3 linked regions of the Neurospora crassa OR74A genome follow. The protein of the gene in region 2 interacts with the protein of the main gene of each other region in a pairwise test. Links are inferred from orthologs where the notes say so. Each region holds a gene or a part of one and is shown on either strand. Other genes may lie near its edges.

What was found. The genes of interacting proteins can lie anywhere in the genome.
Region 1: the proteins of NCU09721 (region 2) and NCU09688 interact in binary tests that used the Saccharomyces cerevisiae proteins (3 or more experiments, as listed by UniProt). The link is inferred for Neurospora crassa OR74A from reciprocal best matches to the Saccharomyces cerevisiae genes APL2 and APM1.
Region 3: the proteins of NCU09721 (region 2) and NCU10618 interact in binary tests that used the Saccharomyces cerevisiae proteins (3 or more experiments, as listed by UniProt). The link is inferred for Neurospora crassa OR74A from reciprocal best matches to the Saccharomyces cerevisiae genes APL2 and APS1.

Annotation. Positions count from the first base shown.
Region 1 is NC_026505.1:834,217-838,382, forward strand, and holds NCU09688 (AP-1 complex subunit mu), read right to left. Parts: upstream 2,801-4,166; 5' UTR 2,409-2,800; coding exon 2,370-2,408; intron 2,289-2,369; coding exon 2,160-2,288; intron 2,023-2,159; coding exon 925-2,022; intron 847-924; coding exon 766-846; 3' UTR 340-765; downstream 1-339. UniProt on the Saccharomyces cerevisiae protein: Component of the adaptor complexes which link clathrin to receptors in coated vesicles. Clathrin-associated protein complexes are believed to interact with the cytoplasmic tails of membrane proteins, leading to their selection and concentration.
Region 2 is NC_026507.1:1,361,015-1,365,078, forward strand, and holds the start of NCU09721 (AP-1 complex subunit beta-1), read left to right. Parts: upstream 1-1,255; 5' UTR 1,256-1,623; coding exon 1,624-1,856; intron 1,857-1,918; coding exon 1,919-3,302; intron 3,303-3,359; coding exon 3,360-3,992; 3' UTR 3,993-4,064. Other genes in the region: NCU09722 (hypothetical protein), read left to right, coding at 1-364. UniProt on the Saccharomyces cerevisiae protein: Adaptins are components of the adaptor complexes which link clathrin to receptors in coated vesicles. Clathrin-associated protein complexes are believed to interact with the cytoplasmic tails of membrane proteins, leading to their selection and concentration.
Region 3 is NC_026505.1:1,564,228-1,568,409, reverse strand, and holds NCU10618 (AP-1 complex subunit theta-1), read left to right. Parts: upstream 1-1,382; 5' UTR 1,383-1,823; coding exon 1,824-1,834; intron 1,835-1,899; coding exon 1,900-1,933; intron 1,934-2,015; coding exon 2,016-2,133; intron 2,134-2,200; coding exon 2,201-2,475; intron 2,476-2,647; coding exon 2,648-2,677; 3' UTR 2,678-3,779; downstream 3,780-4,182. Other genes in the region: NCU04596 (gamma-cysteine synthetase regulatory subunit), read right to left, coding at 1-267, 448-473. UniProt on the Saccharomyces cerevisiae protein: Component of the adapter complexes which link clathrin to receptors in coated vesicles. Clathrin-associated protein complexes are believed to interact with the cytoplasmic tails of membrane proteins, leading to their selection and concentration.

The DNA.
Region 1 (4,166 bases), on a different chromosome or scaffold from region 2:
CGTGGAAATCGGTTGCATACGGTAACATAGGCCATCGAGAGAAGGTTTTTTTTTTTTTTTTTTTTTTTTTTTTTTTTTTTTTTTTTTTTTTTTTTGGCATCCTGTCTTCCTTTAACGTTGCCAGTCTCCTGTACACGTGGGGGTCTGAAAAATAATTTGTTTTCCCTTTTCAGTTCCTCCACAGTAAAGGTGGAGACGGGTGGCTATAGGCATGCCAAATCAGGACCGCCCATCAATCCATCCTTGCACTCGAGGATGACGACCCGGGCACACTGATCTGATTCACGCGTGTCCAACTTTTCCAACTTCTTCGACCACCACTTGACAGGACTGTGTTCATGCAGAAATATTATATCGAATATTGTTTGACATGGACGTCATGTTGCGGTGTGTGGCACCTACGCATCATCTACCTATAAACCAACCGCTTCTCCCTTCTACTTAGTCCATCCATGTCGTGTCAGGGCCATCATTACTATACATACGCCATAAGTCTCTTCTCTCCTTTTACCCCATCTGTACATCGGAGCCACGACCTGGGATGTCGTTCTGGGTAGGGCATATCTCGTCGACCTGGGGGCAGGGACTGAGGACAGGCCAATGTGTTCAATGAGGCAGCCAGAATTAATACCTGTTCTGCGGCCGCTCCCTTTCATGCCCCACCCAGCTGGTAGGTAAATTGTAGGTTTTCTGTTCCACGATCTGTCGTTTGTTTTGAAGAAAAAAAACAAGGCTTCTTCTTGCCCGTATCCAAGTCCTCGTCGTTCATACCGCGTCGGGCAATCTGACGGCGATATCTCCTGACTGCGTAATGTACCTGACCCAAGGCAAGGAGGGGTATTGTAGCTGTTTCAAATCGTCAGTAACTAGCAGCCACAGGTGCTAGAAGAAACATGGGTAAAGAAAGAAAAAAAAAAGTCTTACCTTTGGCTCCGTAATCTTCAAATACCGCACCTGAATCCCACTCGTGGTGAAATATGGAATCTCAAACTTGACCTGAATCGGCCTCTTGGCTCCTTTCCCGGGGGCACCGACACCACCCATACTGCCACCAAATCCACCCGTCATGCCACCGCCGTGCTCATCGTCGCCCCTCACACTAGGAAGACCCAGCTCCGCGCGCATCAAAAACTCCTTGCCGCCACCAAACTGCTTGATCTTCCACACGATGGCACTCTTCTCGGGCGCGTAGTGCACGCTCCCCACGTTCGTCCGGAACCGGGGCGTGTCGGCGTCGTCGGGGACCGGCACAATGATCTCCACGTTGTTGGCCGTCGAGCGGCGCTTGAACTGCGCGCGCGCTTTGAGCATGTACTCGATTCGCGAACCGGAGTGGGACTCGACCACGCACTCGACCCAGATCAGGGGTTTGACTTGGGTGTTCAAGCGGTACGACATGAGCTCGAACTCGCCGTCGGGCGGGATGAAGGAGATGGTGCGGTCGTTTTCGAAGCGCGACAGGCGTACGCACTGGTGGAACTTGACGTCTTCCATCTCAATGGCCTTTCCCCGCGTGGTGCGCCCCGTGGTCTCGAACATGACTTTGTCGTTTAGGCCCAGGCGCAGCTCGGGCATGCCGGAGAGGTAGCACTTCATTTTGATGGCGCCGAGGATTTCGGAGCGCAAGACGTTGCCGTTGGCCGAGACCAGCAGGTTGAGGGATTCGATCACGTCGAGGAACACTTCGTTCTTGCGGTAGCGGATGCCTTCGGATCGCCATGAGACGGCGTTGGTGACGGCGATGGGCGGGCGCGCTTGGATTTCGAGCTTGTGCGACTCTTGGGTGATGTACTCCTGCAGGATCTTGGACTCGGTCGTTTGCGGGTAGCCGAAATCCATCATCTCGTCCAGGAGCTCGTAGATGATGACGAAGTTGTCCCGGATCGATTCCTCTTCCAACGCTTTGAAGTACTCGGTGAAGACCTCGACGATCTTGTGCAGGAAGAGCAGGATCTCGGCGGCGTTGGTGTTGCGTTTTGTGAGGGCGAGAAGGTACAGGTTATTATGGCGGATGTAGAGGTACTATATATATTAAATGACCGAAGAAAGTGTTCAGCAAATCTGTGGCCCAAGAGGTTCTCGCAACAGCAGCAGCAGCAGCAGCAGCAGCAGCAGCAGCAGGGTGGACGACGACGACGACGGGCTTGTAGATAACATACGTTGATACCCTCGTGGGAAAAGCATGGTGGTACGGCGGACGACTCTTCTTCGGCTTCGCTTAATAGAATAGGGAACTTTTCGACGGCCGACATGGGAATATCACCGCGGTAGTTACGGGCAAGGAGGGTCTAAGTGAGGGCGCATTGGGCGGTCAGCTTTGGATGCTTTGCTGTGGACTTTGCGACACCACCAGATGAGCATTTTCCCACCTTGCCCTTGAGATCTAGAAAGAAAATGGCGGACGCCATGGTAAGCTGTGGTGTCTGTTGTTGTCTGAGGAGATTGAGTGTAGAGAGTTGTTGTTGTCGTCGTCGGCGTCGTGGTCGAGGAGAAGGTGTTGACGGAAACGGAGGAGGGGCACTGGTAATACAAGGCGCAAGCTACGATTAGGGGGGGTAATCGAGTATGGTAGGCGCGAGCGCCAAAAGTGAGTTCGAACTCGGTTCGTCAATGGGCTATAACATGCGCCGTAGGTGGTTGAAATCCTGTCGAGGAGCTGAGGGTCAAGAACTGCAAACAAAGTATCACAGTCGTTGTTGTTTATCAAAGGTGTAGCGCGGGCAAGCCACGATACCTATCCTGCAACTGAAGACGAGTGTGTGCAGTTGTCGCTATCAATACGTCGCGACAAGTGGTGACATGGAAGCGATGGTGCATCCAGATCTCGAAAAGCACAGGCCAAGAACACCCTGGCGGCCAGCAATGCCACTGCAGCCCAGAACAGAGCTCACAGCACCAAGCAGCAATGCCAAGCACTCGTGGTCAGCGAGCTTCCGCCCCTTTGTGACAAGTCTCGACGTGGAACCTTCTTCAGCTCCAGCTGTCGGTCAGCTGGTCCCCGTAGCCTTGCCAGGCTCGCTAAGTCACATCCACACCCAAGAGGGAAAGGCTTGGTAAGTCTTGGCAGGGTCGAAGGTGAACATTTTCCATTCCATCATGATGCTGCCATTTCATTTCCGTGACGGGAGCATCATCAGAGAATCGGGGTTAATTGGTCTCCAGTCCAGCTGCTCGAGCTCTCTAGGTCATCGTCGTCGGCGCAAGACCCAACAACTCAAGTGTTCCGATGGAAGGAAGTGGGGCAGACTTTCGACTCTCTTTCCCATCGGCCCCAGCTGAACTTTTGTCCGTCTTTCGAGAAAGAAAAAAAAAAGAAAAGGTCTGTGCTTCTCTGGCAGATCCACCCAAAATTCCTCCGCTCCTCGCAAGTATTTTAGAGAAACCCTTCCGTCGTTTTCAATCTTGCACCTTTTTCTCCTCTTTTTTTTTCTTCAACGCGTCCTCAGACAGTGCCGAACATCGCAAATGCACATCGGCTCCGGCATTCTGTCGGGGTTCGAACCGTGTCCTATGGTGATTCTGCGATTTCGCGACGCGGAGAAGAAGGGGATTGATTTCTTCAAATGGCTCCATAAGAGCTGCCCATGTATGTTGTCTGCCTTTGGGAAGATGACCAAAATTACTAGGGCGGCGTCAGAGGTTCCACACATTCCATCATCGTAGAAGTTGTTTTTTTTCTTGGTGTTTTGAACCTTTTTGTGTGTCTTGACGTTGATCGTTGTGTCGCGCGCAAAGCGCTATATTTTATTATCGTTTTACGCCGTCGGACACCCACCCACCCGTGTTGCGGTCTGTCCACGCCGGCCGGCCGGTAAATCTTGTGTTTGGGATCGGAGCAGCCATTCCTTCGTTCCTTGGCCGGAGGGGACGGATGACGGACGAAAACTTGGAAGCGGACCTGTTCAGTCGGCCCGTTGCACTCGACATGCTCTCACTCTCCGGTTGATTAGTGATCGATATCACCACACACACACTGCCGAAAGTCAATGCCGGAGTCGGTGCCGCAGTCAGGAGCGTTTCACCGGCTCAGCTCCCAAGAAACGCCAAAATCCGCACGTGATGATCAGCTAGTGCTCATGGTGCTCCCAATCCCGTGGCGCTGGTAGTGGTGGTTTTTTTCGTTCCTCGCCGGCGTGAGCCAGTCGACCAGTCGTGCCAGCCATGCC
Region 2 (4,064 bases):
GGACGGAGAGAAGAGCTGGGGACTGGGTGATGGCGGGAGGCCCAGGAGGAGGGCGGCGGCTAAGGTGAAGAGTCTGAAGCTTGAAAGTGACTCTGAAGATCAAGAGGAAGAGGACGAAAGTGGGGATGGAGCGGACAAGAAGGAAAAGAAGGAAAAGAAGAAGAAGAAGAAGAAGGCCGAAAAGGAGGGTAGCGGTGATGAAGATGGAGACGATGATGATGATGAAGTTGAAGAGGACGACGAAGATGACGATGACGAGGACGAGGACGACTCAGAAGATGCGGAGCCAAAGGCAAGGGTGAGAGGCCCAGCCAAGCACAGGGCGGATTTCGCTTTCTTGGGCTCTGAGAGCGAGTCTGATTAAGTCACGGTGATTGATATGGAGCAAGCAAGACCCAGTGTCTTGGATCACCACTACTTCTTCATGGTTATGTTATGGGCGTGTACGATTCAACGAGATGTTTTATACCCTTTTGGTTTTGTATGACTATTTATCAAGGTACGCAATGGGCGGAGAATATGGCACATTGGAGGCAGGTTCTCAGTTTCGGAATTACTTTGTGGCGTTCATTCTTTGAGCTATCAAGCTGAAGACTGCGACGGAGCTTAGGAACAGGACGGCGTTGTAGAACTAGTAGTATCATGTTAGGTGGTCTTGGGGTTAAACAGCAGCACCGGAATATGACGTACTGCTTTTCTGGACACGTCTCTTTCTTCACTGTCCGTCCTGGCCTCGATGAAGAGGCGACGCAAGTTGGGAAAGTTGGCCTGTTGTGATTCAAGGTTCTCAGTCTTAGCAACATGTTTAGGGGATCTCAACAATGAGGGTTAGTCTTGTGGACAATTACCATTGTTTCGCCTCTGCCAGTTGACACTTGAGACGTTGATGCTGGTGATAGGTCGTACTTTTGAAGATATGGGAAGGTGATTTAAGTCCTAGTAAAAAAGGGAGGATGTGTCTAAGCTGCAATATCGCCGAATAATCAGTCGCTTCTCCAGTGTACTGGGAGTGGATGGTCCTCCGTCGTCACGGCCAAGCACAACCATCATCATCGTCCTCGTCGCCAAGTGCCAAGCCACAGCTGCCAGATGGGATCGAATGCCCCAAAGACGGCACTGTGGCTGAAGCTCTCCTTTACGGCGGGGCACCTCGCTAGCAATGAAGGACCCTGTGAGTGGGGCAACTCACAACAAGGTTCACGCCAAGACGCTCTGGCCTGTCGCTGCAGTGACTTGGAGGACACCACAGTTGAACCACAGCTGAACCACAGTGGCCGCTATTCAGCGCGTACCTATCACTGGACATCTGCCCGTCCACATCATCGTCGTGATCCATCCCGTCCTGACACCAGCGACGACGCGGCGACCTGATCCAAAGCTGGAGCACGCCCTCGACAACAGCACGCTGCCTCACAGCCGGCCAGGTTGCACTTTTGTTTCACGACTACCGGTACCTACGCGATCAACATACCAAAGCATCCGTGTATGCGCCATTCCACGACCACCCGTTGAGGCGCCATCTCCTTTGTCAAAGCTCGAGGTTTCACCGCCCGATCTCGACCTTGTCAGCACCTCCACCACTGCTTGTCCTCCCTGAGCGCGCAGAACAGCAACGCCTTCGCAATGTCAGCTATCAACCGCATTAGGGGTGCGTTTGCGCCGCCGCGCAAGGGCGAAACCTTCGAGCTGCGAGCCGGCCTTGTGTCCCAATATGCCTACGAGCGGAAGGAAGCCATCCAGAAGACCATCATGGCCATGACCCTGGGCAAGGATGTTTCGGCGCTCTTCCCGGACGTCCTCAAAAACATTGCGACCTCCGACCTTGACCAGAAGAAGCTGGTGTATCTCTACTTGATGTGAGCATCAGCTGCCCTCGTCTCTGGCCCCTTCATGAACGAACGCTAACCCCTGAGTCCAGGAACTACGCCAAATCACATCCCGATCTCTGCATTCTAGCCGTCAACACATTCGTACAAGACTCGGAAGACCCGAACCCCCTCATTCGAGCGCTGGCGATTCGAACAATGGGCTGCATCCGTGTCGACAAAATGATCGATTACATGGAGGAGCCGCTACGAAAGACGCTACGAGACGAGTCCCCCTACGTACGCAAGACCGCCGCCATCTGTGTCGCCAAACTGTTCGATCTCAACCCCACAATGTGCATCGAGAACGGCTTCCTGGAGACACTGCAAGAGATGATTGGTGATCCCAATCCCATGGTTGTGGCCAACTCCGTCCAGGCCCTGTCCGAAATCCACGAAACTGCCCCCGAGACCAGGGCGCTTGTCCTCACACCCGCGACCCTAAAGAAGCTGCTTATGGCGTTGAACGAGTGCACGGAATGGGGGAGGGTCACCATTTTGACAACACTAGCCGAGTACACTGCCCATGACGTCAAGGAATCGGAACACATTTGCGAAAGAGTAGCGCCCCAGTTCCAACACGTCAACCCCAGCGTGGTTTTGGCTGCCGTCAAGGTCGTCTTTACCCACATGAAGGCTCTCAACCCCAAGACAGTGAGCGCTTACCTGAAGAAGATGGCTCCTCCTCTGGTAACGCTCATCGCTTCTGCTCCTGAGGTTCAGTATGTCGCGCTGCGCAACATTGACCTTCTGCTGCAAGCCAATCCCGATATTCTTAGCAAGGAGCTGAGGGTATTCTTCTGCAAATACAACGACCCCCCGTACGTCAAGCTCCAGAAGCTTGAAATCATGGTCAGGATAGCAAACGACAAGAACTTTGATCAACTACTTTCCGAGCTCAAGGAGTATGCCCTTGAAGTCGACATGGATTTCGTCCGGAGAGCTGTCAAGGCCATCGGTCAGGTCGCCATCAAGATTGAGGCCGCTAGCGAAAAGTGCGTCAACGCGTTGCTTGATCTAATCTCCACCAAGGTCAACTATGTTGTGCAAGAGGTTATTGTCGTCATCAAGGACATCCTCCGCAAGTATCCCGGATATGAAGGTGTCATTCCGACTCTCTGCAAGTACATCGACGAGTTAGATGAGCCCAACGCCAGGGGTGCCTTGATCTGGATTGTTGGAGAGTATGCTGAGAAAATCAACAACGCCGATGAAATTCTGGAAGGGTTCGTCGAGGGTTTCTTGGAAGAGTTCACGCAGACCCAATTGCAGATTCTTACCGCTGTGGTCAAGCTGTTCCTGAAGAAACCCAGCAACACCCAAGGCCTAGTACAGAAGGTCCTCCAGCAAGCCACGGCAGACAACGACAACCCCGATATCAGAGACCGTGCTTATATCTACTGGCGTCTCCTCTCTGGCGATCTCGATGTTGCCAAGGTTTGTCACAATTCCTACCCCCTGAATATGTAAACATTGACTAACTTGCGTTCATAGAGCATTATTCTCTCTCAAAAGCCCGCCATCACGACAACAGTAACATCCCTCCCTCCCGTCCTCCTCGAGCAACTTCTTTCCGAGCTTTCCACTCTCGCCTCCGTCTACCACAAGCCTCCCGAGTCGTTCGTCGGCAAGGGCCGTTTCGGCGCCGACGAGATCCAGCGCGCCGCCATCCAAGAACAGCGCCAAAACGCCGCCGAGAACCCCATTGCCGCGTCAGTCGCTGCTGCTGCCAAAGGTGGCCAGCAGAACAACGTTGAGAATCTTCTCGACATCGATTTTGACGGCGGCGCTCCTGCCAGCGCAGAGCACGGTGGCGGTGTCGGCACACCAGATCGGTTTGGCAGCCCGGCCAACGTCGGTGGTCTTCCCGGTGCGCCACCGCAACCCAGTGGCGGCATGGCGGATATCATGGGGCTTTTCGATGCACCACCGCCCATGCCGTCGGCGTCTGCTGCAACTTCGCCGGCTGCTGCAGGCGGGATGGGTGACATGATGAGCTCGTTTGCAGGCATGGATCTTAGCGGGACGAGTGCGCCGCCGCCGCCTGGTCAGCAGCTGGGGCATCCGGCTAGTCAGACTCCTCCCAAGAGTGGTGGAGGTAGCGAGGATCTGCTTGGGTTGTTCTGATGGAAGAAGTCATGATTGGATGAGTATGGTGTCACTATAATAGCATGGTAGTTGGGGTTGGTGATGAGGGAA
Region 3 (4,182 bases), on a different chromosome or scaffold from region 2:
TTTTTCTGGTCTTGCGCCGTCCAGTAGAGCGGGCCTGCTACGGGGTCGGTAGTGTTGCTATCGCCATTTGTGGCTTCGTGGACGCCATTGCTGGTGCCATTGGTCGTAGTCGTCGTCGTCTTCGTCGTTCCATTCGCGTTCAGGTTCTCAATCTCGTCGGCGTAGTCTAGTTGCGCATCTTGGAAGCTGACTTTCAGAGAGTTTACGAGTTCGAGGTTGGATGCGCCGGGCTTGCGAACAATGGAGGGCCCGCCGGAAATGATGTTTCTGAAGGAGAAAAAAAAGTTCGAGCACGCAATTAGTGATTGGGTCTAAGAGATGGCTATCTTGCCTATTTTCGAGCGAGGTCGCACAGCTAGGGACAAGAGACAAACCATATGGCCTGCCCTGCCCTACACCATCATACTTGAGACCGGAGCCACACAATGAAGAGAAGGACGGACATACCCGGTAGAAAGTATTAACTTGGTCATGACTGCTAAGGATGTTGACGACCTTTTTTTTTCTTTTCTTTTGGAAATGGGTAGAAAAAAGTTAAAACGCTGGCCAGGCGCAAGACGAATCTCTCTACCTCTTGAACTTTGGACTAGATAGTGGGGTACGACTTATTTGGTTCAATGGAGCCTAGAACCGATTATTAATGATTTACTGGCATGGGTCCGGGGGTGGTTCGATTCGGGAGTATGAAGGTACCTTTTGTAAGCTTGTGATGATATGTATCACCACAAACGCCGATGGTAGGGTGGTGTTGCCAGAGATAGGCAGCTGTAACGACACAGGGGAACATCAGTTTGGAAAAGTATGAATATCCGTCGTCGACCAAGAACATAACCCAGGATAGAGGTTAGACGGAGTTTTCGCAATGTGGGATGTCCGCAGACCATAAATCGGAGAGGTCATCATCCGACTCTCGGATTTTGACCTTGCGCTAGGTGAAGCATGGCTCTACACGCAACTCCCAGGGAAGGCGCCATGAGCAAGAACAAGTGCGGACTCTCAAGCAAGTTTGTCAGAGTCGGAGATGCACGTCGCGGACATTGCCGAGAATGTCAACGGCAGCTATGCCAGCTTCGGCATCTGATGACTGTCGGTTGCGTTCTCAACCACACTTTGGTGTAGATATGCGCGGGATGCCGTAGAAGGAGAAGAAAGCAACAGCCAACCAGAAGGTCTGACAGGAACGGGATGTCTTGTTAGGTGAGGAACTGCCCGGTGAACGTGGGGAGCCTTGTACTTCTCCCACGATTAGTAGGTCATGTTCGCTTGTTGCAGCCACCAACACTGAGGAAGAGAACTAGTTGAGTCATGCCGGCAGAAGATGATAGAAAAATGAACCAGACGCCCGCTACGACTGAGGGGGTTTAATGAGAAAAGGGCTTCCCTTTTGATCCGTCCTTGAGATTTTGTGTGCGTTAAGTGGTTTGCCCAGCAACATGGGATCAGCAGAAGATAAAAAGTCAATCAACTCAATTGTCGTTAGGTACATAGACAGTTAGACGATCAACGAACTCCCATGTTAAGCCTCGATCAACTCAGGAGCACATCATCCACTATAAGACCACTAAAGAAGCCTCTGAAAACGAGAAGTGCCAGATGCACTAATAGTCTCTAGGATCGGGTAGAGCCCCACTTGCCTTGGGTCTGGTTCTTCAGGCACATTGGACGGCCGTCGTCCCGCCCCTTTGGACAGCTCCAGGCGGGAGGAGTCCAGGCTGTCGGCGTGGTGTCCTTGTCAAATTTCCCGCCCGTGACAACACCTCCATGATCACATTGTCGACTCCCGCTCAACGTGATCCCGGGTAGTTGATGGAATCATCGTCATCATGGCTATTCAGTATGCGCCCGACAGTCGCCATCTTGCTATTCACAATGAAGTCAAGCTGACCCGGAGCTCTGCAGCTATCTAATCCTCCTCTCGCGCCAGGGCAAAGTGGTGCGTCTTGCCCGCCGCGGGCGTTGCTCTCGTCCCCAACCACGCTGTCCTTCTCCCGACTAACCGCACGTCAAATATCCAGCGCCTGGCCAAATGGTTCACCACTCTGTCTCCCAAGGACAAGGCCAAGATCGTCAAGGACGTTTCCCAGCTTGTCCTGGCTAGGAGGACTCGCATGTGCAACTTTCTCGAATACAAAGGCAAGCTCCGCCAATTCTCCTGGATCGCAACATAGGGCTAACTAACTGTCTTTTTGCTCGTCTGCAGATACCAAGATTGTCTACCGCCGATATGCCTCGCTTTTCTTCATCGCCGGATGCTCCTCCGAGGACAACGAGCTGATCACCCTCGAGATCATCCATCGCTATGTCGAGCAGATGGACAAGTACTACGGCAACGTCTGCGAGCTCGACATCATTTTCTCCTTTACCAAAGCCTACTACATCCTCGACGAGCTCCTGCTGGCGGGAGAGTTGCAGGAAAGCAGCAAGAAGAATGTCCTACGATGCATATCGCAACAAGACGCCTTAGAGGACATGGAGGTGCGTACAAGCATTTGACTTGGAGCCGTGACCGCTTGCCCGGACAGAATTTGCCTTCTTCCCGCGTCGCTACGCCTACACGCTCCCCCCCCCCCCCCCCCCCCCCCCCCCTTGTTGCAATCCCTATCCGTAAACCACCGCGCTCACTGACACGTTTATTGCACTTCCTCAGGTCGAGGATGAAGTCACAAAGATCATGTAAAGGCTGATCAAGCTTTGTGGTGTCTTTTTCTCTCCATCATCACGACCGACCGAACCGGGTCCCCTCAAACACTTGCGATTGCCAATGGTCGACATTTATTTACCCCAACAGCATACGCTAATGCATACCTTTACCTCCTGATGCAGGATTTGGAAGAAATAAACAACGCACTCAAGCAGGCCGGGATTCTCTGAAGCTGTGGTAGCGACCACAGTCCCTCCGATAGGTGACGGCACCGGATGGACAGACGAGAGGGGCGACCCGAAGCACGAGAGTACAGCATATGCAACCAGGGAGGACAATAATAATCGCGCCGAGAGAAGGGGAAGCAGAGTGTGGTGTGGTGGCAGGAAGTCGGGGCTACAGTCACCCATTAGGAGGGAGCAAACTCCCTTTCCTTAATCATATAGATATGGGCATTGTAGATTAATGAGCTGCCAAAACTGAGCCACTCGGAGACCGGATACACCACTAGTGTCCTAATCATGGACGATGATGGGAGGAAACCAAGTGGAATGCGTATCCGGTACACTGGGCATGGCCTCGGCGATGTGCTTAATGATAACAACGATTCAACGACGCGTTGCCAACACCGATCCATCTGTTCATGACCTCACACATCGGGTGTATGCGCAGAAACAGATCGATTCGCTCGGGAGACGTTGGGGTGGCGTTACCTTGATGCCCACCAAGGAAAGGTTTGTCCACATCGACGTTGGAAGCAACGCTCGTGGAGGGTTGAGACGACTCTATTCGTCAGGTGGTTGTGGTTGACAATTAACATTGATGAGCAGCATTCAGGCCGGGACACACATTGACACACAGGAAGTGGAACGCACTGCGATTACTGACTGGAGGCTTCCAGGCGGAACGGCGGAGGGGAGTGAGTGGGAATGGAGACTTGGTGGTGACAAGGGAACGCCGATCACTTAGGGGGTGCGACTCCACCCGACTCGAGGAGCCAGCGGCGCATGACCGGGGTTTAGGCGGGTCGACCCCAGCAATCCCCAGCGAGCCAAGGCCAACGTGGGCTGGCGCAAGCAGGCCACTCACCCGAAAGGCCACCCACCTGTTACTGTCAGCGTCAGCGAACCGGCTCTGGCCCTGATGGCACGGCTTGGAAGGAACGTCAGATAGGTAACGAGCCATCGATGGAAAGCGAGACCGCAGCCGGGGCACCAAGGGAACATATCAATGACCAACAAGAGGACTGACTGGAGCCAAGCTGAACACAGAAGAAGCATGATGGCTGTACACTCACTATACCGACCCGATAACCGGCGGTCCCCTTGGATTCAATTCGGATGGATTGGAAAGAACATCATACACTACATGTATGGGATTTATCCAAGTTGTCCCTCCTCCCACTTTTCCCACTTTTTGTTTCCCAAACTGATCTGAACCTCACTTCAACTAAACAGCAGGACATCACTCGATATATGACGATATCGTCACCCCTATTTCTCCTCACGCTAAACTTACATCAACATCAACAACATCAAAAA